2 linked regions of the Mytilus edulis genome follow. The protein of the gene in region 1 interacts with the protein of each later gene in a pairwise test. Links are inferred from orthologs where the notes say so. Each region holds a gene or a part of one and is shown on either strand. Other genes may lie near its edges.

Region 1 (17,344 bases):
TATTCCAATGTTTGAACTTTTATTATACCCCCGCTTTAAAAAAGGGGGTATACTGTTTTACCTCTGTCTGTCCTTCCGTCTGTCCCATGAATATTTTTCGTCGCATTTTTCTCAGGAACTACAATACAAGGATTTCTGAAATTTGGTTTCAGGGTTTATCTAAGTCAGCTATACCGTGTGATGCGTTTTCAGATTGATCACTCGACAACTTACTGTTTACCGAACACTTGTATGATTTTACACATGATAGCCAAGTTGAAAATTTTCGTCACATTTTTCTCAGGAACTACAATACAAGGATTTCTGAAATTTGGTTTCAGGATTTATATAAGTCAGCTATACCGTGTGATGCCTTTTCAGATTCATCACTCGACAACTTCCTGTTTACCGAACACTTGCATAGTTTTACACTATTAATATTATCCACTTGCAGCGGGGGTATCATCAGTGAGCAGTAGCTCGCAGTTTCACTTGTTTTCACATGATCTAGCTGGACAGGGAATTCATTTTGTTCCATTAAGTATCCCAAAAAACTGGATTTGACCCTTTGATCACCTTTCAGCAAAAACTTATGCAAATTCATAAAATTACATTTTTCTTTTTCAGGACAGTGAAGCAAGATTAAGAAAGACAGCCCTTAAAGAAACAGTGTCATCAACACCATCATACACACCTACACCAGAAACTAAACAGGATTTAATGAGTCAGATAACAGCGTTCCCTAATATAGCTATTATTATTGCTGCACTAATTATAGGAGTTATTCTTGGAAAAATGCTGTTATAACTATAACTGAACATGTGAATGCAACAAAGTGACTATATAAGACTGGAATTTAATAACTTTTAAAAAAATAGACATTTTAATTTGTAACTGTCACTGTTTAAATTTAAGATAAGTAATTTGGTGTAATAGTGAGTTTGATTCGAACAAGACCATATTAGGAAGCTTATTCATTACTATAGCGGTCGGTTAAGGACTTATTTAGCTTCAAAGTACCTCGTCTATAAAAAGGTTGGAATTTTTGTCCTAATTTTTTGCTTCTTAGTTATTTATACATTTTTAGCTCACCTTACCCAAAGAGCCAATTAAGCTTTTCTCATCACTTGGAGTCTGTCATCGTTGTCCAACTTCTCCTCTGAAACTACTGGGCCAAATTTAGCCAAACTTCATAAGGGTATCGTTCTGAAATGTGACCAATGACTTTGCATGCTAATCAATATGGCTAAAAATAGACCTAGGTGAGCGACACAGGCTCTTTAAAGTTTTATTAATATATTTGAATTATTAATTGTCCTTTTTTGTGAATAACACATATTTTTTTAATTCAAAATTTGGTTCAGTTTTCCAACAAAATTGAAAGATAGGTAAATGTGATATACAAGATGTTGACATATAGCACTTCATATTTATAAAGCAAGCACTTTTAAGGAATATGTCGTGAGTGATATTGAAATGATAAATGATAGTAGGGATTCTGTAATCACCTTGTGAAATAAGATTTTGTTGTTGTTAAGATACTGGATATAGCTAATGACAGCAACTAATTAGAATATTTAAAACTCATATAGAAGATGAGCAATATTAAAATATTAAAATGATAAATTCTTGTCAATTAAATTGAAATTGCTGAGGCACTTGTTCTACATTATGTGCTTAACATCCAAAAAAAATGTTATCTGCATGCAAAAAAAGAGACTAATACAAGCAGTTTATTGTATTTATTATATTTCTAACATTAAACAATAAATGAATGCTTAAATCATTCTTAATATCAGAAGTAATGCATGTTATAATTCATTATTGAATGATATAATTTCATACTTGTATGTACTTTCATCAAATTGATAGAATACTATATTGTGTATTAGATGTGTTCATACTTGTGTATTATATGAAAGGTGTATTATCATTTAACACATATGTTTTGGGAGTTTTGTTATTAAAAGAAGTATTGATAAAGCATATATAGTTCCTGGAATAGTTTTATACATATTCTATCGAAAAATTCTATAAAGGTGCTAGCTTTGAATTACATAATATTTTAATTCAGATCAAATCTGGTTTTGCACAAAACCCATAAAATTTTCTGAAATTCTCTGAAATGTCTATAGGAACTATACGACTATATTTGAAAGAAAACTTAATGATGATCATATGCACATGTGCATTTTTAGGCCTTTGTACAAATGTTGTATATTTCATTTTTTAGACCAAAATTTAAGTTGATGCACTGTTTTGTTTTCCATGGTCTTATTTTGTTTTGTTTTAGTTTTTTTTATGAAAATGTTTACTTTTTCCATTGTTATTCTTTTTGTTTGTTTAGACTGTTAATTTAATTAACTTCTTTTCTTAAGTTTTGCCTTATTTAAACTAGATTCTATGAAGTCTAGTTGAAGGTTCATAATTTCTTTTTGTTTTATTTAAGAAAGACACCAAATGAAAAGAAAACAAATTTATACTTTCACACCCTTAAAGTACGGAACAATAAAATGTTGTACAATTATGCGATACATTTCTGCTTTCTGACATTTAAAACTTGAAATCATAAACAGTGGTTGTGATAATGATGCCAAAATATAGGGATTTTCAGATGTAAGAAAGTAATATAAAGTCCCCTTGTACATATGTCTCATCACAACCATATCACAGCTTTTGATATTGTATTGAAAAGAAGAAATTTGGAGAGAAGTTTTGTAACGTATTGGTTGATACTTAATATGCAAGTTTTTCTTTCTTAAATATACTAGAACATGTGTCAGTTTGATGTATAATATTTATAATTTATTAGATAAGATGTTATTAAATACAATATCTTCTATTTTCATGATTTTCCTGTTACCCAATGCATAACTGTCTTATGAAATTGAATAATGTTTTCTCTTGGTTGGAATTATTACATGTGTAAATTAAAGCTTTTTCTTTCGAATACTTTTACAAGCTTTCTAGGTTACCAGTGATGTAAGTTCATCATATAACACTTATTATATAACTTTATAAATTTTCATAACTATAATTTATTAGAAAGACTTTCTGATCTATAAACTTAACATAATAATTTTCTAGGTTGATATTTGTTGACTTTTTTTTTTATAATACTGACTTTTGACTCCAATTGATATTTTTTGACAGGCTATACCTACTCTACTCTGTGGTAGGTCGTCCTGGTACCAAGTCCAGTAAATGCAACTTAAAGAAGTACATGTATAATCAAGCTTTCAATCTATACAAATGTTTGGGTGAATTGCTTTATATTTTCTTTGCACAACAAACACAACTGAAAACAGTAAACTTTTCCCTCAATTTCACCCATTATATGTTTAATTTTACTTTATTGGTGGCCCTTACTTGACCAAGTACCAGGAGGTCTTACCACAGAAATAGTTACCGGGGTACCTATTGAAAAATTATAAAGTCTGAGTTAAAAGTTGGTAATATGAAAATAGTCTATTGAAAGTGGGAAAAAAATATTTAACAGTAACTGTGCATTGACAACTCCTGACTTGAATTATTAAATGAGTGATGTATATATTTTATAGATGTTCTTTTATACAATGAAAATTACATTGAAGGCACCTTACTCTAGTTCTTAGTTGATTTATTCTTTCTCAAACCTTTGTAAACATAATCAACATCTGGTTTTGTCTTAACTTGTGCTTCTTCATTGGTTAAAATTCTCTTATCTCCCTGCTTTTGCGCAAGTCACTCAATCCAGATATATTTTGGGTTATGAATAAGTGATCATTTTGATTTTCAGTGTTTCTAATGGCCATGGTCTTGTCTGTCCTTTGTCTTATGTTTAATTTCAAATTTTCTTGTTAAGATTGTTTTGTGTTTTAAATTTAGTAGTTTCTTTAGGTTAGACGTCAACCAATCTTCTTTTATCACCAACTTCATTGTATTACTAGCAGAATTTAACAAGAGTAACACAAGATTGCCACTTGTGGAACAAGAGTAGCATCCTCTTTGATTCATGTTTTTGATTATTTTTCTCTGACCTTTTTGACACTGGTACAATTTTTATATGTGACAACTGTGGAGAGAATAGAAATATCTAATGAAGACTTACATTAATAACATTTAGTTGGAAGGTATGGATTCTTTCCATTATGTTTTTCACAAATTTCTATTTAAGAAGTTTTGATAAATTTGTTTCTTACATTACAACTTTGCCATCTGGTTAATTAAAAACAAAATCACTGAAAACATAAAAAAAAAAAAACCTGATCCCCATTACTAAGAGAAATATAAATGCACAAATTTTTCGAAACAGCTTTTAACTTTTTTACAAAAACAAGTGAATGAAGTGAACAGGTATAAGTTATTAGACAAAGGTTTACAAGACAAAAAATGATATAAATAATTTATTAGACTTAAGGTGGTACCTAACACTTTAACTAAAATTAATTTGGCTCGTTTAATTTTCTTAAAATTTTGACAAAGTATTTACTTTGACCCTTTGACAAAAATATAAAAATTTCAAAAAATTTGAACCAACCGTTTAATCAGAAAAATTACACTGGTTATATAACAGTTTGACAAACACTTATTTTGATCATTGAGAAGCTTAATATTCCCTTATGAACACAACGTCATTAAAACGTTCTGCTGATTTTACAGAGTTATCTCCCTGTAGTGTTAGGTACCACCTTAATATAGGGAAAGGAACAAATGAACAAAAGGATATATATTTGCTGAATGACATCTACCTGTTGATTAAAAAAGATTGATATTTTATACTAGTTTATATGTAGTTTTCATTTTTCACATCATATTTCAATATTAGTATTGGATAGTCTTGGACTCTGGGTTCAACCTAGTATAATTCTTTGTTTCCTCATTTTTAAGTGCTATGTCCTGGAACTGACAGGCGCAAACTTCAAAATAACAAAGCCAAGCTGGGTTATAAAATGACCAGTACTTTAAGCAAGGGTGGAATGGGATATTTAAAAATAATTTATTATGGCTTGTTAAAATTTAACTGACCAATTATTCCAGTCATATGTGTGTGCAATTTAATCTGCAATTGAGAATACTTCAATGGTTTTCGGTGTAAAATCATGTAATTTATTTATGTGCTAAGCCACTGCTAACTACCTGCTTTGAATGTAATACAAGTAATCAGTTGTATATTCAGTATGTAACATTATAGATGTAAACATTTCTAACTGATGTTACACAACCATCATTTCTACTGCTTCAACCATTTGTTACTTTCATGGGACATCATTGAAGAATAGAATGGAGTAAGTCCTGAAATGAAAGTGTACAAGTCATTTAGTTTGTTAAAATAAACTTTTATGATGATAGTGATTTTATATTTATTGCCTTAAACACTGACACATAAGAGGAAAAAGTCATGATTTTTGTTTTAAAAAACAAACAAATATTGTATTGGATTCATAAATCATACTTTGTTTCAACTGTTAGGTTTGATCGATATTGAAAATAATGCACTTCTAATATACCCCAATGGCATTCATGAAAACAAAAGAACACATTACATAACACATTACAAAAATGATTTCAAAGAAAGCCTTAGTTTATTTTCTGAAATAAAATAATCTACTGGGCAACATTACTGTCACATCTAAATAAAAAGAATGGTGTCACTACTGGTTTGAAAGAAATATTTTGATTATTCACATCTACAAAAAAATGTGTAAAATTGCTACTTTTTGTAGAGATAAATCTGTATGAAATTTCACATCCGACACCTAGAAATTCTGAAGTCAGAACAACTTAATAGTTCTCCCGTTAACAGCCATGAATGTTTATTCTCAGTCAACATGAACAGCTGGTGGTGAAAAAAATTGAATAAAGTTCCTCAGATATTCCAGAGGATAGAATTACCATATGAACCACCTTAATATATCTAACAGTTCAACTCAACAACAACTTGGGTCAAATTATGATTAAAGTGTATTTTAGCAACATTTCCTGGATATTTCTTTGTTATATTATTTCAAAAATGAGATAAATGTGTAAACATTATTATAAAACAACATAGAAAATTTATTAAAAGCAAAGTTGCTTCAAGTCCCTTGATTTAAAAATCAAGATTGAGAATGGAAATTTGGAATGTGGCAAAAGAAGCAACAACCTGTCCAAATAGTCAAAAAACGGGCCAAGGTCAGATCTTAAAAGTTTCATAATTAGTAGGGAAAGTAAAATCACAAAAAATGAACTCCAAAGAAAATTCAAAACAGAAAGTCCCTAATCAAATGGGAAAATCAAATGCTCAAACACATCAAACAAATAGACAACAACTGTCATATTCCTGACTTGGTACATGCATTTTCTTTAGTAGAAAATTGTGGATTAAATTTGGTTTTATAGCTGGCTAAACCTCACTATTGTAGACAGAAGTTTGTTTCATTGAAATAAGTAAAATTGTATAGTTCAAGCTTTAAACCTTACTTTTTTTTCCACAATGAAATAAAACTTAATATATTTTCCTTGGTGTGTGCATCTCCTTTTATATAGTCATCATCAAAATAGGATGTGTTAAATAACCAATGAAAAAAAACCAATCCATTAAAAAAGTAAGATTAAAGAGTGAATGAATAACTACATACCTTCAGGTGATTGTATAGCCTTCAATTATAAATGAAAGGTAAGTGATTAAATATGGTACAGTTTATGCAGCTGTGTGTGAATCATTACCATGCAGTATATATATAATTCAAAGGGAACAACCACTTAACTTCAAGTGAGGAGGGGGGGGGGGTAATTTTTTTTGCCTTTAGTTTGATTTTTCTTTCTTGGAAAGTGCAAACCTTTTTTTTTTTAGTTTTTCAATGCTGTCAATTTTTTTCAAAATTTAACATGCACTATGGCATTGGAAAAATCAGCATTCAAAATTATTTGTTTTTTTACAAATTGAGGATCAGAATACACAAAATATGACTACCTGAGCACATGCAATTAATATTTAAGGATGTCTGCTGGTCATGTTTTTGAATTCTTGTCATATTTTCGATTTTCTCAGGTTTTATCCATCCAAATGTATTAAAAAAAATTTTACACGACACCCCCCTTTTGTCTTCATAAATCTGTTCAATAGATCATTTCAGATTTAGTGATCCGGCGGCATGAAATCCTTGTTATTTTTTCTTGGTTTAAAGGGTAAAAAACAATTCCAATGTTAACAAATAGTAAAGTCTGAAGAAAACCCTTTTCCCGCCATTTTCTAAATGTCTCGTATTTTGAAAACTACACACGATACTAATGATTTTATTACTTTATTTTGTTTAAATATCAAAGTTGTTTTCATTTTAAGCAACCACATGAAATCCTTGTTATTTTAAATTAGAGCAGCAGACATCCTTAAATGCACAATTATATTTATTGCAACATTGATGTGGTGTTCCTGCATAGGAGGGATATACAATTACAATAGAAACTATTTTTATTTTTTTCTAAATACTCTTATTGATACATTAAATAATTATTATAATATAATAGATACACTTTTACATGATCTTGCATATATTTAGAATTGAATTCGATAAACAAGTCGACCAATACGTGTTACGGAGCACCGGAGTAAACCATGTGAGAAACAAACAAGACTTTTATTTACTGCGGATGATGGATTTGATGAAAACAGTTTCCTGAAAATTTGACAGTAGCCGGCTTTCTTGAAGATATTCTGTAGGAGAAAAACACAAAGAGAAAACATTAAAATGGCAACACGAAGTTTAACAGAGGTTTTCATTTTGATGAGAAACAATGCTTTACAAAGTCGTCATATGTTTTCTGAACATGTAAGAAATCAATAGAATTAAGAAAACAAACTATAATACTTTTAATTTTCGTTTCATCATCATGTACATGTATGTCTGTTTTCTTCAACAAAAACTTTCATTATATTCAAACTTAAAAGATCTGCATTGCAATGTATGTTATAAGACATAAGAAGATGTGAAAGAGGTGCGAAAAATACCATAAACTCATACTCAAATTCAAACTCATAGTCATAGATTGAAAATAAACTGACTCAACTACAAATGTATTGCAATGGCACATCAAAAGATGTAACTGAGTGGGGAAATACAAAGATGGATAGGTGCCCACAGTCCCACTCTCCCCCGTTTCTGTTTGCCTTGGGTCTGTCCATTATCCTGGTTTGATTGTTTGCCATTATGCCGGCATTATTTACATTTTGAGAGCAAAAAAAGAGGAGCTGGTTTAATAATGTAAATATTGAAGTAATTACATTAAACTATGAGTTTTCAATCTGTCTGTACATCAGTGTATTTTGCCCTTATCAAAACACAACTTATTACAATAACCATACGAAAAGCCTAAATATATTGTTTATCTTTTGAAATTGAAACAGTATCCAAAAGTAAAAAGCGACACACACAGAGGCATATCTTTCAAGACCAACAAACACTTAGGCCAAATAAAAATATATGTGTGGTTCCAGTAACCCGACCGACCCTAGAACTTTTTTTTTCATTTCTGAAAAATAAATTTTCAAACGATCAAATTTTGAGGATTGTGAATTAAAATAATTAAATTCAGATTTCTGTCATAAGTATCTGTTATGGCTAAAATGCAAGAATTCATAACTAAATGCAACAAAATTAACTAAAAACATATCATGACTGTTTTAGTTTACAACCAAACACATGTAAAAATGGTGGACTTCCGGTTGGGACGTATATAATACCCTATTTTTTAAAAGTATGTAACTGGAACCATACATATATTTTTATTTGGCCTTACATGTACAGTGGAATCCCCGGTGTCCGCCAACCGGTGATACCGTGCATTAGCTGATTTCGTCATATTACCACAGCAACACAAATAAAATTGTTCTTGTTATTGTTTTAGTATTCCGAAGGTATAAAAAGAATAAAATTGATAAGTTCAAGAGTTAAAATATTACTGCAATCCCATGATTTACAATATTTGGCCAATTCCCATTAAGAAAAATTACATCTGACATCAGATAAAATGTGTTTTATTTAAGACAAATCTATATCAGATTGAAATAATTTTTGCTCTGCATGCTTGGCAGTGTGTTTGGTTCAAATTCAGGCATATTTCGTAGCAGAAAATCTTTCCTTTATTCAAAATAATCTTTGTTTGGAAGGCATGCGCAAAATCACTGGATATTGGAGGAACTGACTGACTGCACCATACTGAACAGCCTTGCAATTAGTTACTTAAAATTCATCACCACACAAATAAAAACTGTTGCCTATTGTTTTTGTTTTTTTTATTATTATTATAACCTCTCTGAAATTCTTTATTGGGTCTTGATCATGATGGCAACATAAAAATGGGATAAGAACAGCCATGCAAACCTACAAAATAAAAAATAAAAACTTGTTAATTAAAAATCACAATGATTAATGTGCATGTTCTGACATCCAAAACATTTAATTTTAGGTTAATGATGACCGGATGGCACTTGTTTCAAATGCAGCTTCTGATATGGAAATGGGCAGTATTAATACAAAATCATCAAGACTGCCTCCAGAATGGTAAGTACGACTAACGATATATTTTTTTTTCTTGTGACACACAGAAAAAATTAGGGTCTATAGTTTATTTTTAGATATTTTTTTCATGTATACATCTTAATAGGTGTAATACCACCAACCAAATCATGGTACATTACATCCGGTTGTAGACCAAAATTTGGTCGAAAAAAATATTCCCTTGAATAATTTACTTTCAGGGGAGATAATTCAAACTTTAAAAACAAAAATTCAAAGATTATATTGACTTATACAAGGTTATGCTTCTTACATCTTAAAGCAAATAAAAATGACTTGTACAAGTATTATCCCTGACTGTTTAGTAAACACTAAATGTACCTCAAAAGTATAAGATCAAGACAAACTGCAGGAACAAAGTGTTTTACTTTCAATAACCAAATGGTTTGTTAATTGGTACATTTTTAAGCTTTAATGCATATTCCAGGCAGTTGTATTAATTAGACTTTTTCAAATATAGTAAGCAGGTAAAGAACACATGATACTTTCATCACAAACACCATAGCCCTTAAACATTATAAAATAGTCCATATTGTTACAAAAAATAAAAATAGAGGCAATAAACAAATAAATATAAAATACTTTTTATTCCACTTCCTATTTCAAGTAACAAAAACCAAAAATAACAATGAACAATTTTTTTTTTAATTTTAATTTTGGAATCCTACATAGACATGATATGTTGACAGAGTTGTGACAAGATGGCCTTGAAGCAGACAAAAACTTGATGTTTATCATTAGTGCACAATTAGTAATATCAAGCAAAGAAATCAACAGATACTGAAAACTGTCATGAAAATGTACACTTTCTGTAGACAATAAAAAAAATTGACTGATTTTGATAAATCATGTTTATTTTTTTTCCAAAAATAATGGTAATGATAATTATTTGAGACCTCTGTTTCTGAAGCATCACAGTAAAAGTTTAACCAATTTGACACTAGTAGTAGCCGAAAATGACCATTTCCACCTGACAGTAAAAGGCATTCATACCCTCTTACATAGCATAATAAATACATTTTACAAATTATTTTGACAGGGTAGATGGAGTAGAAGAGGTACAATATGAAATGACAAAAATCAAAACTAAAAGTAAGTATACAGATTTTTTCAGATTTCAATTTACATATGTAGATGTAATTATTGCAACCATTGAAAATGCAAATGTACCCATTTCTCATTAGTTAACTTTTTGGGTAAAGATTGCATGAAATGCTATCAAAACCCTATGGTACTGACTTGATATCTAAATCTTCAAAGTTTTATCACTACCTTTGAGATCCACACAATATGGTGCATTGATCATAACATTCTTAACATCCTATCCGTGAACATTACCAGAAATGTATCAATAAAATATATACTCAGATATTCAGTTAAAAAATTATGTTATACTTGTCAAAATTAGATAACTTTTGCAAGGTACATGAATCTAATTAATATCTATTCTATAAATATCAATGATGTCATCTTTAAGAATAAGAGTTATCTTCCTTTGTTTAATGGTTTATAAAATGCAATTAAATTATTGAATTTTACTTTCCACTTATAAATTGTAGCAATCTTCACCATTCAGTGCTTACAAACACTTAGGTTTCACAGTTTGGATAATATGATAGAGATTTCCAAATAATATATCCCAAATTTTGGTTGGTCAGGCCAAAATAGCTATTTTAATAAATTTTATAATAATTTTAGAAATTTACAGTATGCAGAATCATTGTTAGCTGGAAGGAATTGTTAACTTGAACTTAATGTTATTGACTGGTTTTGTCGGGTTAAACAATTGGACCTTTAACATAAAACTGCATATTTTTGATTTTTTAGTGAAGGAACTTGCAACACTCCATGACAGACATTTAAACAGACCAACGTTAGATGATAATGTGCAGGAGGAACATGCTATAGAAATAATGACACAAGATATTACACAGGTTTGTTTTCATGTTAAGGGAGATGATTTGAGATATAACCCAAACAGACAGCAACCCAATGACACAAAAAAAACCAAGAAGACATGAAGTAGTCTATAAATATACTTCAAGAATAGACCATTGTAAAGCTCTATATGCCTATCGCATACTCAATTGTGTTTGTAAATTTAACAGAAACCATTAAAAACTACTGTCCACACTGAAGTCTCTGAATGACAAAAATTAGAATACAACTAAGGAGCACCACTGACAATGTTCCTGACATAGGGAGGCACATATACTTGTTTCAGATGTTTAATCTCAATCATTTGAATATCAAAAGGTATATAGAAAAATCAGGACATAGAAAACATTTGATGAATTATATTGCTGAAGTAGATAGTCAAAACACAATTGTATGCAAAACAATAATAAACTCTGCCCTAGCAAAGAGTACACAATTCAATCATCCAAATAGCACAATTTTATTAGTAACATTCAAAATATTTCATACTGTGAATTCACTTATTTTTCATTGGTAGTAATTTTCTTTGATTAGGAATATTTGATTCCATGATTTTGCTAAAGTCTGCATACAGGGAAATATATTTAATGTTGTTCAGTTGAATTCATTGTTTATCTTTACCATAGAAATCCATGAAAATTTATATCGAACGAATAATTTTGAATCAAGAGTAAACAATTAGTTTTCTTGCAGATGTTTACCAGATGTCAAATAACAGTTCAGAGAATAAGTCACAAAGGAAACCATGGGACAGAGCAGGAAAAAAGACTAGCCAAAAATATAGTATCATCTGTGGCCAGATCACTACAAGATATGTCATTAAATTTTAGAAAAACACAATCAGATTACCTCAGAAGTAAGTTGTTTCATCTTTTGATAGGGTAGACTAGAAATTCTTTGATACTGACACTGATGACCAAGGATTGTTCCATTAAAACATACATGATACCCAGTGAAGGCACTTTTAAAAAGGAAACCACCTATAGAGTCAACTTACAATTTCACTTGCATATCCGCTATACAAAAAGATAGATGACACCCTACCATTGTTCAGATTTGGAAGTGCCTTCCCTGGGTTCCATGTATATTTTTATGGAACATCCCTAAAATAGTCAAGAACACAATTGTATAAATAGTAATATGACAAAGTCATGTAAACTTGTCCTATAACTTTGATTTTATTGTTACATAAAAACATTTTCACTGAAACCTTTAAGTTTTTCTTCGCTTCTAAAAGTCGGAGCTTCTTGTTGACTGATACAGATCTTCATCTGGTTATTTCATACAGTATTACACATTTACAGTTCCTTACTTGTAACTTAATTAATGAGTCAGTTTTAGTCAAACCAAGAAACTGTACATTTGTAATAGAATAAACTCAGTAAATTTGGCATCTTAAGGTGGCTCGGGCATATATGAAGTTTCTATCAGAAGTGCCGTATTTGTGTTTATTTTATTCTTTACAGAAAGTGAAACAAAGTGGTAGAAAAAAAATATGGGGTCACTGACCATTTAAGCTCAAAATTTTACTTTTAAACAGGTGTGTAAAAGGGATCGTTTTTCAATGAAATGGTAGGGAATATAGAGGTGTTGACATATTTTTATCGGAATATCAAAAAATTTCTATGACACTTGGTCCAAAACTCTTATATAAAAAGCTGAAATATAGCTTCAAACAGTGAGCAAATAAAAACATAAGTCATCAATAAAAAAAAAATATTTTGCTTTAAAATCCAAATTTAGGCGGGAAAATGGTGAAATTGGGTGAAATGTCATTTTGAGCCTTTCACAGATACACATAATAATGATAATATTTTTTGAAGGACATAACTACAATGAGTTAATATTTCTAATCAATCAAAATATTTTAGAAAATATTATCGAATTTACGACACATACTTTTCGTGTGTATTGAAATTCTTGCATGAAATTATGTGCCGTCAAATAGTCCGGATCCACCGTACCTTAAACATTGGAATATGAAAACCTAACCTGTGCACAATTGAAATATTCAATACTAGTAATGTTCTAATCAGACAAGCATTGCTTTTATTGCTGTTTTTCATTTTGACTTTTGTCTTTTTGATAAAAGGTAGAAAAATCAATCTATTAGCTAAATCAAGATAAAATGTGGAATATGGATTCATTATTAATCACATATAATTTCAATGTTTGAAGATTTTTTAAATCATGAATTTAAATATAAATGGATATCAATGAATGAAAGTATTTACATCAACTGCAGACAGCTCTGAGTGTCACAAGTAAGAAATAGTTCTAATTGGACAAAACTGTATTTTTCTATATTTATTCAAAAGTGAACAATTTCTTCATTTTTCATTTCAGAAATAAAAAGTAGAGAAGAAAGATCTAGAGAATTTTTTGATACAAATATAGGTCCAAGCTCAGGGTCATTTATGGAGGAAATAGAACCTTTTGAAGATGTATTTGACAAGGTAATGGAGAGAAGCTATCTTTGTTCATCATTTAGAGTTGTGTTTGATGATTTCTATAGATGCAAAATAACAAAGGCGTAATAAAAATCTTATTTTATAAATAAATAACTTCATCAAAAACTACCTTGACCAAAAACTTTAACCTGAACTTTGCACTATCATTTTCTATGTTCAGTGGACCATGAAATTGGGGTCAAAACTATAATTTGGCATTAAAATTAGAAAGATCATATCATGGGGAACATGTGTATTAAGTTTCAAGTTGATTGGACTTCAGCTTCATCAAAAACTAACTCAACCAAAAACTTTAACCGGACGGACGAACGGAGGCACAGACCAGAAAACATAATGCCCCTCTACTATCGTAGGTGGGGCATAAAAAGAATTAGTTTATGAAATGATACGGTTTTCTTGCTTTATAAGCTTGCCAATGAATCACTTCATGTATAACCTGCGGCATTTAATACTTAAATCTTCCTTTTTATAGATAGAAGTCCAAGAGGCTTTTGTCGGTAGGAGCTTGTAATGTTTGCTGACTTCCCTTTATGCACTTTGAATAATATTGTTTAAAAAATGGCTAATGATGTCTATATTACTGGTCACACTACTTATTCAATCAATCAGAATTTACAACACATGCAAATATAGTTTCATTTGAACTAAGAAGTACAATATACATTTACGGCATGTACAAAAGATGAATATTAAAAATTTTAAAAACAATCTTAAATACTTATAGCTCCAGTAAAATGCTCATTACATTATGTCCAGGTTAAACATTTCATTCACACTTACAGAACAGTTTCACTAGCGAAAGAAATCATACACATGATGGTCCGAGACCACAATTGTCGTCCCTTGATTTTCGTTGTTCACGAATATAGTCCCTAGTGTTGACAGTGGGTTACTTGCCATTAATTTTTATACCCCTTCCAAATTTATTTCTCCATGTTTAATGCCTCAAATTGCAAGTAGGGGGGTGAAATTACACTGTAAAACAATTTGGGTCCAGAATTTTAAAGGAAAGTAGTGATTAGGTCCAGCTGAAAAAGGTTGAAAATTAGCACATCGGAAGCTGTCAAAAGATTTCAAGATGCCCTAAACATAAAATTGTCCATATTTTGAGTTAGAGCCGATGAAGTTTTCTATAATTTTGATATAATTTGTCCCAAAAGTTGTACAACACACTGTAAAAGTTTCTTTGAGAAAGCGCAGGTGGGATTTTTTTAATTTTCATTTATGTTCTAAAAGAAATGCACTACGAAATAATTGTGTTCTCGGACCTGATGGCATGAAACTGGTTTATACATACACATATATATATACACTTTTGCCATGACCAACAGTTGACTGGACATTTTCAAAAAGATTGAATCTAGTTGAATGATAAAGATTTATTTATTTATTCAAGGGTTTTACATCATCACAATTACACATGGTTGAAGATAATACAGTACATGTTAAACAAAGAGAGAAAGAAATAGCACAGATAGTACAGTCTATAACAGATCTGAATGAAATATTTAAAGATTTAGCTACTATGGTTGTAGATCAGGTTAGTGTTCAAGTTTAAATACAAATGTAGTTACAACATAATTTCCTGCTTAGTGTGGCAGATGCAACCTGTCATTTTAAGTCGCATTCATAGCAGAAATGTTTCTGTAATAATCTTTTTCAGTACCTCTAAAGCAAAAAAGTAATGGAATCCTTAAATCTTTTCATGTCATCTTATATCTAGAGATACTTGGAAATATAGGTCATACAGAAACAAAATTCAAATTCATGATAGGGGAGGTAATTTATTATAATATGTACTTTGGTTTAAGTTTTTGATGATTTGTTAGTTTTACAAAGTTCTTGAATTTATATACTGTGAAAGTACTTTAATTCGTGGGTATTAATTTTCGTGGTTTGAGCAATATTTACATGTTCGTGGGTTTTTAAATTCGTGGATTTTAGTTTTCTAAAAAAAAAAAATTTGAAAAATTGAAGCCTTTAGAAACGAGGGTTACAAATAGTCTAGATTGAAGGAAATTGCAAAGTAAACATTGACCCGTGTAAATCGTAGTGATAACACTAATTAACCCATGATAAAGTGATCAACAGATTAAAGACCATCAAAGGTGTTAATTAGGCCATTAACATGTCACCTAAAGAAAACAGTAACATAAATAAATGCTATGAATTGCCAAATAGTTCTTAGCAAAATCAAGACCAGCATAATTTTTTTATTTCTTATAAGTACGAGAACTATGAGGATATAAAATGAACACTTTATCATACTAGCATATCAATACCGGAAATCTGACTTTTATTAATCAAAAACAAAAGTTGTACATTTTAGGTTATTAAAGATTAAATGGGTATAATCCTGCATGCGTTTGTAGTTCTGTGACTGCTATTAAAGTATTCTCAGAGTTGGTGCTATTCAATATCTTCTCTTAGACTAGATCATACATGTCATATCAGTAGTCAAACCTACCGATTGGGATGTTTCCAGGTCTTGATTTAGACAATGGTTATTTTATTTCGTTGGACACTTAAATTCGTGGATAAAGTCATCCACGAAAACCACGAAAATTGGTACCCCACGAATAAAAGTACTTTCACAGTATTTCACTTTCTAAGAATGAATTAAAAACCTTTGTGTTTATGTAGATAGAAGAGGGATGTATAAAAGTGGTAATTCACTTGTTTTCTTATCCTCATAAAACTGTCTTATTTGTAATGTTTTGTGGTAAACATCACAATTAAATGTTGTTTATACTTAACTTTCATGAATTAATGAAAATTGTGTATTATCTGTAAATGACTTTGTATAAGATGTAGGTTTTGAAGGGCTGAAATTAAGTTGTAATATGGATGTTTACTATCCAAATTGTTGCTCAATTTCAATCCATTTATCAAAGGGACACAACTAAAATACTGATTGGAAATTGTCTCACTTACACATACTATAAATGGAATATTTAATAGTATGTGTAGGCTCCAGTGTGTGATATCATGGATTATGGTAAATCATGTGCAAAATAAAGATTTTTGTTTGCTATGATTGCAGCTTGCAGCTGAATCAAATAATTTGATATATTTGAATTAATACTATTTTTCTGGGAACACAAAAAGTACATATTAAGTTCGTAAATACTTGTATCAATTTATTAACACAGCAATTATTGTATATTTTTTAGGGAACAATATTAGATAGAATAGACTATAATGTAGAAAATGCCAGTGTACAAGTAGATAAAGGACTACAACAATTACAGAAAGCCGAAAAATATCAAAAGAAAAATAGAAAAATGTTATGTATTGTTATATTAGCAGCTGTTATTATATTATTATTGATTATATTGATAGCCGTCAAAAGATAGCATTAGTTATCATTTAGGGATTTTTATATTTTAATAAAAAAAAAAGGCTGTGATTAACTTATAA
Region 2 (17,161 bases), on another chromosome or scaffold:
AGTTACGGCCATGATCTGTGCATTGCAAATGTGTTTTTAGCTAGAACAGTAGCCCCGGTAACACGTATTGAATTGTTAGTGTAAATTTCAGACAAGTTGCACTTCTTGCTCAGGTATGACATGAAATTGCCAAGCGTTTTTTTCGCCCACAGGAACAGTCTGCGCCAAAAACTTTTTCATCTACTAGTACGGAAACTAAATATCAAAACTTGTCCCTATATGACTATATAAAATTTTGAAAATTTTCACTAGTCCGAATAAATATTTACTAGTCTGGGGCATCTGACTAGTGGCTAACGGTGCAGACTGCAGGAATGGTATAATACCATGAAAGGTCCTCTTCCCAAAACTGATCTTTTGGTCTCTGCCATAGTTTGTCACACTCTAGATTTAATTTATTTACATACTTTTCAAAGGAAGACACGGGGCAATACTCAGAACCGGAATTTTCTGGCATTATCCCTGAAGTTTTTTCTTTGTCACTGCTGCGATGGTTTTTTGTCAACTCATCTAAAGTTTTAGCAACATATTTAAGCCCCGTTTTCTGATTTTTTTTACAGAAAACGTGGATTTTGTCATTTGTGGCATATTTTCCATTCCCCTTTGACAAAAATCTGAACTTTATTTTGAAGTCCAAATGGAGTATTTGGTGATAAATATATTGAGGTATACATTTTTCTTCTGTCAGGTTCGTCAATACACGGATAATGATCGACGTCTCCTAATCCCATGCGTTTAAGTTCTGCCATTGCCACTTTAAAATTTTCTCTGGAAGTGCAATTTTTTTATTGTACGGTGGAGCCTTTAAATATCTATTCAATGAGTATCTCAAGCATTGCAGTGAATTTGTTTTATAACGATTTCCATCTGCTTTACGGACATCCATATAAAAATGATCCAACACTTCATCTAGTTTTAAGGTGTCAAACTGTTCAAATCCAGGATCCATTTTCTTTACTTTTAAATACTCCCTGAAAATAGTGGCTGCTGCTATATTCTGCTTTATTGTTTTGTCAGCACTCATTTTCACACTTTTTTGTTCAATTTCTTCATCACTAGTATCAACAAATCGTCTTTTACCAGACTCCATCTTTAGTTGGCATAAAAACACATGAACTATGCACTACATGGAAAATCAATAGATCATCAGGTTACACAATACACATTAAGAGTGAGGTCAGTGGGCGGAGTTAACATGCTACTATTGCGTAGTGAAATCTAGGACACTTGTGTATTAAACGTTTCATTAATTATATACCTAATACGGTTAGCATAACCGCACAAAAATGTTATCATGCTTTGACCCAACTAGCATGATTATTTAGACGGAGATTTGGTAGAAATCCAGGATAGTTTAAGAAAGTTATTAAAATTTAAGTTTAGAGTGAATATTTCAAACATTATTTTTGAATTGCCTCCCTTACACTGCTTTAAAATTATGAAGTGTACTTAAGCAATTGTCCATTAACAAGGAAACCCTTGTTTTTTCCCGTTTTTTGCCCCGAATTGCTAACAGGTTGGGCCATAACCCCCAAAGCTAATTCTTACTATCTCTTTGAGGTAATGGAAACTTGTGGTATAATTTCAGAGCGATCATTAGACATTACACCTTTTCAAAAGTAATTGTCTGGAAACTAGAAAAATGCTTATTTTGGCCCCTTATTCCTAAACTGTTGGGATCATAACCCCCAAAATCAAACCCAACCTCCCTTTTGTGGTCATAAACCTGGTGTTTAAATTTCATAGATTTTTATTTACTTACACTTACAATGCAAGTTATTGTCCGGAAACCAAATGTCTTTGGACGACAATGATGTGAAACCAATATACGACCACAAAATGTTTTCCTGTCTGTATAAGAACTGTTATAGCTCAAAGTAAGGTCTTCAAAATGTGTTTTATATGTGTATTTTACTTACCTGCCCACTTTTTACTCATTTTAAATGAATTTGCTGCTCTCACATAAAGCTCACAAGCTTCTTCTGTTTTGCTAGATGAGCTAGATAAAAGAAACATAAGGTATCCTTGGTTAATCACAGACTTGGGGTAATTGTAATTGTAATCGTTAATCAGCTGTAATTGATTACAATTTTTCAAGTAATCAGTGTAATCATTAATCAGCCAAAAATCTGATTACATGTAATTTAATTTAATCAATTACTTTTCAAAATACCCTGTAATCATGATTACTTTTTGATTACATTCTGATTACAATGAAAAAAATCTAAAATTGTGTTTTTGGTCATTAAATGAACCTCTTTGTTATTCATATTTGATAAATTTTAAACATGATAAAAATGGTTTGGTTACTTTAAACATGTCTACTTCAGTAAAAAAATAAACTGTTACAGTATTGAAAAGTCACCATTAGCTTTAGCAGAGACATATAATACAATTATTTACCTTCAATCTTGGTAAGAGATATTGTACATACAGGTTTATTCATTGTTTTATAATGATCTTCATATTAATATTTGATAATAACTGTTATATATTCAAGTAATACTTTACTTTAACCCTGAATTATAATCTTTTGTTAATTTTTGTCAACTTTGAATTGACAGGTAGGAGACTAATTAAGGTTTGTTTTTATTACAATTACCAATTGAGTATAGCTGTAGGGAAATATATATGATAAAAGATAAATCCGGCGTTTTGCATTTGCGCCGATCTGCATTTCATTTGCGCCGATTTTTTCTTTCATTTGCGCCGATTTTTGTTTTCATTTGCCCCGATTTTTTTACAGGTAAATTACAGGTTAATTACAGGTGAATAGATATAAGAAGATGTGGTATGAGTGCAAATGAGACAACTCTCCATCCAAGTCATGTTTTTTTTATATTTATCATTATAGACCTCTTCCGTCATCCAGTTGTACACTATATTTACATACTTTAAAATCAAGAAGTAAAAACCTTAGATAAAAACACTCTGGTTTATACTAAAATGACTTTTTAAAATCTATTTACAGCATTCAAATCCATAAAAACGGAAGACATTAAAATCATAAATCTGTTCTTGCTGAGTATTTATAGGCAACATATCTAATATGTTCCTTTCATGTGATTTCGTCTCTTCTATATTTGTTGTAATTGTCAATAACGTAATCCATCTTTTCTTTGTCTTGCTAACGTACTTATGTGTGTGGCCGTCGATGGTTAAAAAAATTGACTCCTCGGCTTGTTGCAGTGTGCAATATGTCCATCAATTACAGCAAAGTTCAGAACAATATGAATCAAAATTAACTAAAACCTATGTTTATAAACAGATTTTACCAATATACCTGCACGGTACATGTTCAAGTATTAACTTACCTGTAAATCCAATTAGGAGCAAATATAAAATCGGCGCAAATGAAAAAATGAAATCGGCGCAAATGAAAGAATGAAAATTTTAAAAATCGGCGCAAATGTCATACTCCTGATAAATCAGACAGGAAAATTTATCTAATTAGCACAAACTAAATTAAAAGTTGGACAAATATGTTGTTTAAATTTTTTTGTATTTGGCCTGGCCATGTAAAATGTAATCATTTTTAGCATGTTTAGTACTAACATAGTGCATGTAGTGTTTACAATTTAATTAAACATTTCTATTAAAATTTAACATAGTTTTAACTGGTAACTTTATTTAATCCATATTTAAACTTCCATAAACTGCAACATGGAATACATATAAATTATGAAAGAGGTCAGAAGACAAACAAAAAAACTATTGATTATGATATATCTTTATTAAATTTAATTCAAAATAATTCAGAGATCATTGGTGATAAAGTGTAATGTATATATATGTAGTGAAATTTGGTGTTTATTTAAATAGATGAAGTTTAATTTGAAGTTATCATTTTATAATTGAACCAAAATGAAATACTTCCTCAAAAATGCTATAGTTATATTGAACGTTTATACATTCACATCATTCAAAATGTTTTGTTTTTAAATTCATTGTAATCAGATGTAATCATGATTACTTTGCTAATGTAATCATTAATTTAATCAGATACTTTCAGAAATGATGTAATCATTAATTTAATTTAATCATACAAATGACGAAGTAATTGTAATTTAATCAATTACATTGAAAGTAATCGGACCCAATTCTAGTTAATCATGTTAATTAGTTTATCTTGTTCTTGGTAATGCAGTAAAATCTAATTTTTATACTGACAGGATTGATTATTAATTGCTGCTTACGTGTCAGCAACAAAGGAGCTAGATGAGGGCTAGTTTTGGCCTAAAATTCAAAGTACATCTGATGAAAGAATTTTAACATTGTTTAAACACTAAAGTGTCTACTTCAGTCGATTGATTAGTCTTTTTAAAAGATTTGAACTAATTTGATCATTAGAGACCTTTAAATTCATGTTTAGAACTTCTATCAAATATGCCATACAACATCACTTTTCAGATGCTTTTTGACTAAATAGTAAGTGGCTGTATTATCACCAAATACAACCTACCAGGTTATTTAAATATCAAGACTGAGCAGTCAAATGCGGCCATTTCCATTCTAGACAAAAACTTTCTTAATATTAGCACAAATGCTAAAATTGTGAAAATTTCAGTAATTTTCCATGCCTTTATGATGCTAGTTAGTACATGTACCTGATGCCAAAAGAGGTCTTACTAGCCATAATACTCATAAAAAATATTAGGACAGAGGTTAATGTGATATGAATAAAAATTGAATATGAACATTCTTGTAGTAAAAAGAAAGGCATATACATTGTACATGTATAAAAAGAGTGGGATATTGATACCATAACTATTACTAATGCTAAAGTCACTGATAGATTCAAATTTTTTAATTGAAAGTGTGACTGTACCATCAGAAACATATAACATACAGCTTGGTGTTTAACATGTGAATTCATGTATTTTAAGTTCAAAAGGCCAAATAAAGTACGAAGTTGAAGACCATTGAGGACCAAAATTCCTAAAAGTTGTACCAAATACAGCTAAGGTAATCCATTCCTGAGGTAGAAAAGCCTTATTTTTTCAAAAATTCAAAATTTGTAAACAGTTGATTTACATGATTTATAAATATGACTATATATATCAATGATAATTTATGTCAGCACAGAAGTGCTGACTACTGGCTGACCCTTGGGGAATTAAAATTCCACCAGCAATGGCATTGACCCAGTGCCCGGCCGTGGTTGTAAACAAATTCATCATAGATACCAGGATTAAATTTTGTATATATGTTAGACATGTGTTTCGTCTACAAAAGACTTGTCAGGGACACTAGAATCCAAAAAAGTTACATTGTAAAAGGGCCAAATAAAGTAAAAGTGACGCCACCAAATCTGATCTTGTTCTGAGTTTTGAGGTAATTAGTATTGTGTTTAAGGCTCATAACATTTGGTTGAGGGAAACTAAAGTGATGGAACTGTAACGAAAAACTTCAGATAAGGACACAGATATGTTTATATAACAATATTCAGCCTTTTTATTTCTGTAAGTGTTAATGACTTGACCCTGTAGGGTGTTTATTGACATGTAGCAATATGATTGCATAGAAATTCAATTTTACAGTTCACTTAAACACTGCCATAAATGCATTTTTTTTAAAAGTTTGGATTATTGAATGAATCAATACAATATGTACATGGAAATTAACAAGGTAAAAAATGTATCTAAAATGTTAAAATTTGTATTCTGTCTACATCTGACATGCTACGTACATGTATACATAGAAATAGTGGAGAAAAGAATGAAATTGAATTTTGAATCTTCTAGAAATAACTCTCAATGATTCATCTGTATAAAATGTATATATTAATCTATAATACTATGGAACTTCAACATGTCTTTACTACTTTGTGTTGAAATACGCTTTAAAAATCATATTGTCCAGTATTACCCGTTTCTGGGAGTTTTGCCCAGCTGGGAAAACCCAGGAATTCCCACCTGGGTTTTCATGGGCGGGTTATACTTTTCCAACCCTGATCACAATACTCAGAAAAAGCCTGTTCCAGTTTTAAATTGTTCATGGAAAAAAAGATTTGGCCTTATTTTTGTTCTGCAGGATGGAATTAGGTTTTAGAGTGTGTGCATGTTTCAGGATTAACTGAGGGGATGAATTAGTAGGTCCGTTTTTGTGATTGCAATGGGATTTTATAAAACATGACCAGACGTGCTTCTGTTCTAATGATGTGCTAAAAACTGCAACCCTGTGTTGAACATGGCTGTCAGCCTGTATGTGGCTTTCTACAGGGTGACAAACAGACAAAATGTACTCTCTTTTTAAAATTTGGTGCGTTTTTTTTAATATTCAAAATTATAAGCCCAAAAGTGTTTTAGAATGATCACCAGGCCTTCAGCTTTCATTTGATGCCCAAAATACCTAAATATCCTACATATTTTAAGTTACACTCATGAGTAGGAATTCGAACTACATTGTATTTTGTGTTAAATATATGTACTACTTTCTGGTATGTGCTTTCTGACGGGGCCTGAATTAGTGGTGTTATACCTATAGTGGGTCTCATTGGGGTCTAAGCATGACACAGGATTTCCGATTTTTTTGTAAGTGGGACACGTGAAAGTCAAATTATTGTGTCGTGAAAACAGGAAATGAGGTCTAGCGGGATACAGGAATCTGACAAAACAGTAAGCGGGATCCGGGATCAACCCCCCAATGAGATTTGGTACGAGTTTGTAGTGGTATAAGTACATGTATCTACCAAGGGGGTCTCAATAAGGGGTTCCGATCCCGGATCCCGCTTACTGTTTTGTCAGATTTCCGTATTCTGCTTACACTATGTACATAAGCAGTTCTCATTTTTTTGTCATTTCCCGGGTCCCGCAAGACCTCATTTCCCGTTTTCACCACATAATAATTTGACTTTCATGTGTCATGCTTACAAAAAATCGAAAAATCCTGTGTCATGCTTATACCCTAATATGACCCACTACCAAGATACGAGTACAAGTTGTTACAAATTTTATAAAATTGAGAATGAAAATAGGAATGTGTAAGGCCCCTCATGGGGGGGTCCTAGTAATCACATAATCACCATTTTTTTGCCAATATAATCACATAATCATTAAATATTTGCTTATCTTTAGTAATCAAATAATCATAAACTAAAAATACAGTCCTAGGTAATCAAATAATCATGAAATATTTGGCTTAATAATCAAATAATCATTAAAAAAACGGCCAAGTAATCACATAATCAAAAACCCCATGAGGGCCCTCATGTGTCAAAGAGACAACAGTCCGACCATAGAGCAGACAAGTACACTATATGCCTTGTAGCAACTGTCTACTAATAACGAAACAGTTCTTTTCTTATCTCTTGAATACAAATAACACTTTTTCGGGATAAAAAATTATCATAATTTAAGCTCCCATTATGAATTACACGCCATTTACCCAAACAATGATCCCAAAAATCCTTGAGCAGACTTCTCTTTCTTCTCGGCCTCACCAACTAACTGACGAGCTTTTTGCTCATTATCTGCCATGATTTTATTTATATTATTTACGTGTATTGGTTAGTGAGTCACACCACTATTTACGTTTTGCATCACAAATTCTCTTGTTCAACAAAACGCTTCATAATGGAAAGGTTTACGACAAATCGTACCTTTGCAAACTCGGTCCTAAATTAAACTGACTCGTACCAAGGATTTGTATAGTCTTACAATACAAATCCTTGCTCAGAAGAGGCTCTTACCCATTGCCATTATCTTTAAGAATTTTTATCATGATTGTGTTTCGTGTGTTTATCATGATTGTGTTTCGATTGTGTTTATTATGTTAAAATTGAACATTAATTGTTACATCTAGTGATCATTCAAGATATTCCGGCAAAATTGATCAATACAGAGACATGTATTTATATGTCTCTGATCAATACTGTAAAAATGTCAAATATTAAATAATATTGAAAATTGTATGCAATTTTGTAAAATTCAAATACAAGTTTTCAAATTTTATTTTATTACATATTTCAAGTGTGGACACAAATCAATGTGGAAAGTATGTTTGGATGTTTGAGATCAGGGGTGGGGTACCAACTATCCTTTCGGGTATAACTGTGCCGACAGCACTTGCCAAATCATACCCTGTTCTAACCAGAAAACATAAAACATACCCTGTTCTAAACAGAATTATTGAAAAACATACCCTGTTCTAGACCGTATAGAATAGATGCTGTTCTAAACAGTTGAATAAGCTATACTGTACTAGAAAAATACTTTGTTTAAACAAAGACCCGGTTTTCACCAGCAGGGCATGAAAAAGCGACCCTGTTCTAACCAGCAGGACGTGAAAAAGAAAAATATAGGAAGTACTACCCCCCCCCCCCCCCCCCGGGGGGGGGGGGGGGGGTAGTTTTTTCTGACATAAAGATTTCTCTGGTTTTCTCCTATAGTGTTCTATGTTAAACTGAGGTGCACTTTACATGTGGTGCACAGTGACAGAAAAACTGTATTAAACACTAAAATAGCAGTGTCGTTTATTTCTGCTCAAGACTGCCATGGAGGAGACACTAATTTAAATCAGTACCAACCGTTCATAGATTTAATAGTGTTTTCTTACATTAAGTGATCTCTGGTTTCCTCCTATAGTGTTCTACGTTTAACTGTGGTGCACAGTGACAGCAATAGTGTACCAAACACTAAAATAGCAGTGTCTTTCATTCAATGTTCAAGACTGTCATGGAGTAGACACTAATTTAAAGCAGTGCCAACCATTCATAGATTTTATTTAGTTAGACCGTGATTTTGATATCAAATCTACATATTCGCCAACATGCTTTGAGTGCTTTGTGAATATTGATGTACGTTCCTGTCATTTAACTTTGTGCATGTGCAACGTTGCATTCAATGCAGGATGTTACCTTTTAACATTTTAACTTTGAAAAAACTTCTTTTCTAATTAATTTCAATCCTATATAGCTGAGTGTGCTCATCCCTGGAAAGATTTACTTGAAGAAGCAGAAGGTTGCAAATATTTCCGAATGATTCCGCTAAAATGTGTTCCACAATTTTTGATTTTGGATAAAAGCAAAAACTCAAATAAGAGGATAATCACATAAGGTGCCTTTCTGCATAATGTGATTCTAATATGCGAGATGTTATCAAGGACTTGCAAGCATGTAGTATTTGCATAGTTCCATTTATGTTCCTTTGAGATGCTAATTTTTAATTTGGGTTGGCCCACTTAAAATTGTTTAGTTGTTAATGATCTTCATGGTATCGTTAGTAAAAGATTTTCGCAATTGTTTTTATAAAGTCTAAGTATTAACAATAATATACGAATTATGTCAGATACCAATACATATGCCCCAAACTCCTACAAACTGATAAAAAAAGTCTTTTAGATATGATCAGGACTACTTCAACAATTCATTTTGCTGACAGTTGTGACCATCTTACAGCAGATCATGTGCAATTGCGAGTTGTGTGTCAAATTTTAATTTCACAAATAATGCATTTGCAAATAGCAATTTAATAAAACACTTATACGAAAAGCTTAATCCAGTGATATATTTTGTTATAGAGGCCTCAGTATCATGAACATTTACCAATCATAACCACCTATATAACGTTAGATCTGTAAATTTGCTTTCGCAAATATTTGGTTCTTCCCTCGCAGGGCCGTAACTAGCCTCTTTTAATAGTGAGGCAAAATTTTGGGTGAGTGGTCAGCGGCCCCAGAAGCTCTGAGAAAAATAACGCAAAATCGTGCATTCTGAGCGTTTCCCAGACTCTTTCTTGCATTAAAACGGCTTAATTAATTTTTAGATATTTTTTTCGACAATCAGGTCCCAAAGCAAAAACAAAGATTCGTTGTAATTTAAGACTTTTAGGTATTAGAGACAACATTAAAAGACCGATATGTAGGATAAAGCAAAAATCGTAATTCTCATAATTATCAATACCGTATCTGTCTGTCTGTTCTTGTCTTGTATTGTGATTAGACTTTGGTGATTTTTTCAGTATGACTAGATTTAAATATAGTGACATTGCAGTATTATACGTTAAGTACTAGTACTGCTTAAGTCCAAAATAGGGACCATCTTCACCTTGTTTTACGATCTTTTACGGTATTAATGATTCTTCAAAAGTATTGTTGAAGACCATCCGGCAACTATCAAGATGAAGAGCAGGAACACAAACTTTGACCATTGATCATTTGTCACTATTTTTTCTATGCATTGACTTTGTGTGCGATTATATCCCCATACTCCTTTATTATCTGTTAAAGGGTCTCAACACGACTTAATGCAAGTTTAACCTTTCAACTTGATGTAAAAGGTCATATATGGCAATACCTTGTTTTTTTTCCTTCAAAATATTTGATACCGGGAAATATGTGTCCTTACTTTAATTCAAACCATGTCAGCTATCTAGTTTTATTTACAATAAAACAAACTGTATTCTTTGATATCAATTTCAATTATCCATGCAGAAAGGACAATTTTGTTTGTGTCCACTGAGTAGCATCGTATGTTCTTAAAATATATTTCTCGCACAATTCTGGACATCGGTGGACATGCAACATTGCAAAACCACGTTTACAAATGAATATCAACGCTCAGACTATAGTCATAAAGTAGGACAATAAATGAACAAAAGACAAACCCGGAACACAGAAGTACAAACAATAAACCATCAACTCCGAAAACTAAAAGGAAAATAGAAACATGGATAACGAAAAAAAAATCCAGGGTATACACCAGAGAGTGAAGAGAAATTGTTTCTTGCGAGAAACTTTCCGTGAAAACAATTTAATATGAAAACAACCTTTTGTTTAATTTTTTTTTTTGAAATTTTTTACATGAGGCATTTGCCTCATTTGCCTCAATGTAGTTACGGCCCTGCCTCGCCGGGATTCGAACCCATGCTACTGTGATATCGTGACACCAAATCGCCTACACTGCAGCCGTCCCGCTAGACCACACGACCACCTGGGCTCTACAATAATAGAGCTTTCGCTGGCCGTGTGTTACCTTTCCTCGTCAGTTTTAATCTAGCGGCGTACTACAGTACATGAGATATAAGGCATGAAGATGTTATTGTTACAGATCAGCTAAATTATCAACGGACGAGTACCGCATAAAAAGGACACCTAACGGAAGCGTACCGGATAAAACGGATGAACAAGATCTACGGAAAAATCAAAGGCGACAATAATAATACATGTAAATCGCATAAATATTCAAAATGTTTCTGTGTAACTGGTTTTGGTTTGTTCTTCAAAATTCCGTCAAAGGGCAGTGTCTGGCCTGAATAAGAACTGCTTGATTGTTAAGACGTGCCTATACTCTATAATCGATTATGAATTCACGAACCTTAAGAAATCTGACATACCAATAATTGGCATTTCTCACGCTAAATTTTCAATTGGCATTTATCCATTTCAAATCCGTTCATCATCCGTTTTATCCGTTATACGTCCGGTAGAAGTTCGTTTCTCATCCGTTCAACATCCGTTTTATCCGTTAAACGTCTGGTAGAAGTCCGTTGGTGAATGTATCTTCCACACCTCCAACGGATGTATAACGGACACGTAACGAATACAAAACGGAAACGAAACGGACGAGTACCGTACAAAACGGACGCCCAACGGACGTTCAACGGACATTTTATCCTCATGAACATTTATTGAACATGCTCAAAATTTTCCACCGGACAGAACGGACGTCGACGGATAAAACGTACGCTTAACGGACATGCAACGGATATGGACGGACATCTAACGGATAAGAACGGACATGAACGGATTGAAAAAAAGTTATCCGTTAGGCGTCCGTTCGAGCTATCCGGCAAGGTGTGACCGAGGCTTTAACGTTAGGGTGCAATCTACAGTTTTGTTCTATGACGTCATACTTTGTTTCAGGGTACGATCTCCTGCTTTGAAAAGAGCTACAGTGGCTGCCGAATGGAAAAACTTAATGGTCAAACGTTTCTATTATATTGTAAGATGCCCGGATGTGCAATGGCGTAGCTGCTTGAAAACTGCTCCGCAAAAGAAGTGTGTATCTAACCTGTTATGATCGGAATTCTTCCGGAAAAAAAAGGTACAATATATTCATTTGAATTTGAAGAAGCTTTTGGCGAGAAATATTTATCTTAAACTGTGCCAATTTAATAATTTTATTTTGAAACGATATTGCTGTTCAAAATGATTTGAAGCGTTTCCAACGAGTAACGTCATAATAACAACCCTGATTATTCCGTAACGTTTTCCTATTGTGTGTGTTACGTTCTACAATTGTTTAAGAAAATGGCGTCCAGCAACAAAAACAATAAAAGTCAAACATGAAAAAAATTCAAAGCACAGATAATAACAAAACTGTTCAACATCAAAATATATCAAGAGACTACACTTTAAATAAATCAAAGGCCTTGATCAAGAAACTAGATGCAACAAGATCAGAACATTTAAGTTTTAAATTGACCGGTGGTGGCCTTAGGCTGTTTTTTAGCACGTCTAGTTTTGAAGTGTTTAAACGTGCATGCACATACTATTATGAACATCTGAATACAAATGGAGGAGATAACAGAGAAATCGCATTTATTCCAATCAGCGATAAGAATAATAAAAATGCCGTTGAAGAACAAATTAAAGTTTCCGAAAAAGGTTTTGATTCGTTGGGAAGATCTATCAAGCGTAAATCTTATTGTATTAATATATATTTCACAACATCTTCTGTACTTATTAATGGAAAAGGACTGAACATATTTTGTGAAACAGATCTTCCGGTCATTGTAGTAAAAATGAAGGAATGTCAAATAAACGGGAAAGATATAAATTTAAATGAGCTAAACAAAATTTTCGAAGAGGTGATTTTTAATGGAGAAACAAGGAAAAGAAGATTGCAATAACAACTCTGTTATAGATGTAAATAAAACAGAACATTTAAACCCCGGTACCATTCAAATATCAAATCCTAATAACAACACAATAAAATCAATAAAAGAGGATGTATCGTCAAATACAAATCGGGAACAGTCAACTTCGTCAGTAGCTATACCTATAATAGATATTCCAGATGATATACAAGCACAAGTGAAAGATATAAATCTGACTAATTCAGAGGATGAAAGTACATGTTTAGATGGAAATGGTAACACATTACCACAGTTGAATATTCGAGACTTTGTTACAACACTAGACAAACTAACTACTGTTGTTACAAATTTGAAAGACAAAGTTGACGAATTGGAAATATCTATACAAGCAAATAATTTGTCAAATGCGAGTAGCATTCAAATTTTAAATGACCGAATGACAGCTTTAACAAAGGTGCGCATGCAACATGACCAACAATCAATGAATAAGATGCAAGACATTGAAGCAGAAATTCAAAATGTTAATAAAAATTTGGAAAAAAAAGTTAACATGTTACAAGGAAAAACACAAAGCATCAGTGATAAAATAAAACTGTATGAAGTGGAAACAATTAAATTACAAAAAAGCTTTATGCCGGAGGAAAATCTCGGTAACCAATGTACCCCAATGTTAGATGAAGATCAAACAATTCCAAAAACAATATGTGAAACAATATTACAAGAACATTCACATGAAATAGAACAGTCAATAAATGCTGATATAAATGAAGAACCACAAAATCCTGTTTATGATACCCAACCAAAACTGCCATTATCAGGAAGTAGGGTTTTAATTGCCGGAAGTTCAGTCCTAAAAGGAATTGACCCATCTAAATTAAAAGATTATATAGATGTCCATGTTCACAGAGGAGCAAATGTACTAGATTTATACGAAGACATAAGAAATATGGATCTGAGTACATACAATACAATTATAATTCATGTAGGTGGCAATGATGCAAGTAGCAAAATGAATGTACAACAATTTGTGGACATTTTTCAAGAAATCATTAACTTTGTAAGATGTCAAAACTGTCGAGCAATTGTATCTGGAATATTACCAAGGATACAATGTGATGTCACTGAGTATAACACAATCCTAAAACAAATGTGCCATTATAATGATGTCAAATTCATATCAAATTATGAATCTTTTGTCTACAAAGATGATCATATAGCTAAATCATTTTACACCACAGATGGCATTCATCTAAATAGATATGGAACAATAAAGTTGTTGGCAAATGTTAATAAAGTAATTAAAGTATTCAAGGGAAAACAAATACAGCATCATTTGAACCAACAAAACATAAATAGATATCAAAGTTCCAGTCACCAATATTACGCAAACAACTTCAGAAGGAGCCCTACAAAACAAAGATATCAACCTAGGAGCAACATGATTACAACAGACAGAAGAAATTTCAACCATTCAGGAATCAACCCCAGAAACGTAAAGGACAGGAATGATCTCAATATGAACTCTCGTGACTCGTGGGAAAACAATAATGAGCTAAATAGACAAAATGTAGACAGAGCACCATTTTTTAACTATCATTCACCAAACTCTGTACGTAAGTCAGATTATGTTCATAGGTAGCATTTAGCTTGTTCTAGTTTTTCAAACAGATATAATATTTTAAATCTGTTATGTGATAAATGTAGTAGTATACAATGTTCATGTAATATAAAAAACATTAATAATATAAACAACAGTAATAATAATAATTGGAGAAAATCTCAAAAGAGACATAGAAAGAGTCAAAATAAAACACCTAGTTCTGTAAATAAAAGTAGAAATAATGAAGCAAGTTGGTTGTTTAAAAAAGGGTTTAAACTAGGTTGTTTAAATATTCAACATTTACAACCAAAAATTGAAGAAATAAAATTTCTATTAAAATATGAACAATTATTTGATATATTTGGTATGGTAGAAACATTTTTAAATGATGAAATTGGTACCGAAACATTACAAATTGAAGGTTACAAAATAGAAAGAAAAGATAGAAAAGCTATTAATTATGGCGGAGGTGTGATTGCGTACATACGAAATAGTGTATGTCATCAGAGAAGAATCGATTTAGAAATAAGTAGTATTGAATCTTTATGGATTGAAATTAAATTTCCAAACACAAACTCTATTTTAATAGGCATTTTTTATCGTCCACCGAGTTCATTTCAATCTTGGATTGATTCAGCGGAAAAAGAAATAGATAAAGCGTCTGCAGAAAATAAAGAAATTATACTCTTAGGAGATTTTAATATAAACTTTTCACATATAAATCATACAGTTGTCGGAAATCAAAAATGGAAGGACTGTATTAATTTGTATGGTTTACAACAAATTGTACATAAACCGACACGAGTAACAGATAAATGTGCAACTACCATAGACCATATATATACGACCGATGTAGACCATATTATAGAAGTAAAGGTGCCTAGTTATGCTGTCAGTGATCATTATCCTGTTTGCGTAACAAGAAAACTTAACCCCAAAATAACAAAAATGGAGCATTTGTCCATAGAATATAGATCATTCAAACAATTTGATAAAAATAAATTTATTGAAAATTTAACAAATATTCCTTTTTATCTCATTGAATCGATTGGAGATGTTGATGAAGCAGCTAATTATTGGTATAATTTATTTCTGAGCACCCTAGACAAACATGCTCCTAAGAAAATTAAAAGGGTGAAAAATACCCAACAACCAGAGTGGTGGACTTCTGATATAAATAGCGCTAGACACCAAAGAGATTATTTTCAAAGAATTGGTGATATATATAATTATAAAATTTGGCGTAATAAGGTTACATTTTTAATAGAACAGGCAAAGAAAAAATATTTCCAAAATGCTATTTCAAATTGTAAAGATAGTAAAACTATTTGGAAGTATGTCAAAAGTCTAAATCCTAAAAAAGTACATAATAATATCACGCATTTAGAATATAAAAATAGTGTAATTCAAAATGATGTTGATATAGCAAATACATTTAATGTGCATTTCACAAATATTGCTGAAAGTATAGTTGATGACAAGTTATGTAATAATGATGATGGTGCCAGATTTGATGCACTCAATAAATTTGTAAAATCAAAGTTACAAACGGGTAGTGAAAAATTCATTATACCAGAAATGAGTATTTTAGATGTAAGCATGTATTTAAAAAAACTTGACAAGTCTAAAGCAACTGGTTTAGATGATGTCGGACCAAATATTTTAAGTATGTGCAGCGATGTCATTGCACCAGCCTTGACATATATATTTAATCTAAGCATCAAAAGTGGTAAATTTCCAAGTATTTTTAAAACTGCAAGAGTTTGCCCAATTTTTAAAAGTGGCGATGCCTGTAATCCTGATAATTATAGACCAATAGCAGTTTTGCCTTGTCTCTCAAAAATCATAGAACGACATATAGCTAATAGTTTGTATATATTTTTAAATAGTAATGACCTTCTTAATACTACACAGTCAGGTTTCAGACCTAAACATTCGTGTACTACTGCACTTACTAAATTAGTAGATGAATGGTTGGCAAATATAGATAATGGAGAGATAAACGGAGTTATATTTTTAGATTTAAAGAAAGCTTTTGATCTGGTTAATCATATAATTTTATTGAAAAAACTTGAATATTATAATGTTTCAAATTGTACACTAGACTGGTTTAAGTCATACTTGTTTGAACGAAGCCAACAAGTTAAGGTCAATAACGTCATGTCTAATACTAAATGCATAAAAACTGGGGTACCACAAGGTTCTATCCTGGGCCCTTTGTTATTTATTTTATATATCAATGATTTACCACTTAATATAGAACATTCATTAATAGATTTATATGCAGATGATTCTACATTACATTGTAAAGGTAATAATTTACTTCAGTTAACTTCTAACCTTCAAAATGATATTCATGTAATTGAAAACTGGTGTGCGCAAAATTGTATGAAATTAAATGCCAAAAAGTGTAAATCAATGATTGTTGGTTCAAAACAAAGACTTTGTTCAACTGGAAACAGTTTAGATATCAATATTTCAAATGAACAAATAGAAAATGTAGATTGTGAAAAACTTCTTGGTTTATATATTGACAAAAACCTAAATTGGAATCAGCAGATAGATAAAATGTCATGTACTATATCAAACAGAATCAATTTATTACAAAAGATAAGAAAATATTTACCTATGCATATACGTATTATCTATTTTAATGCTTATATTCTGCCATTACTTGATTATTGTTGCAATATATGGGGAAGCTGTTGTGAAAGTGGAATAAATAAACTTAATAAGTTATTAA

What was found.
Region 2: the proteins of syntaxin-16-like (region 1) and alpha-soluble NSF attachment protein-like interact in a two-hybrid assay, tested with the Drosophila melanogaster proteins (2 studies listed by BioGRID). The link is inferred for Mytilus edulis from reciprocal best matches to the Drosophila melanogaster genes Syx16 and alphaSnap.

Annotation. Positions count from the first base shown.
Region 1 is NC_092348.1:67,001,617-67,018,960, forward strand, and holds the start of syntaxin-16-like, read left to right. Parts: upstream 1-7,564; 5' UTR 7,565-7,688; coding exon 7,689-7,769; intron 7,770-9,405; coding exon 9,406-9,500; intron 9,501-10,554; coding exon 10,555-10,607; intron 10,608-11,342; coding exon 11,343-11,449; intron 11,450-12,146; coding exon 12,147-12,309; intron 12,310-13,799; coding exon 13,800-13,909; intron 13,910-15,320; coding exon 15,321-15,464; intron 15,465-17,097; coding exon 17,098-17,280; 3' UTR 17,281-17,344. Other genes in the region: vesicle-associated membrane protein-associated protein A-like, read left to right, coding at 607-786.
Region 2 is NC_092346.1:22,462,077-22,479,237, forward strand, and holds the start of alpha-soluble NSF attachment protein-like, read right to left. Parts: upstream 7,584-17,161; 5' UTR 7,479-7,583; coding exon 7,387-7,478; intron 2,000-7,386; coding exon 1,920-1,999; intron 1-1,919. UniProt on the Drosophila melanogaster protein: Required for vesicular transport between the endoplasmic reticulum and the Golgi apparatus. Also between the endosome and phagosome.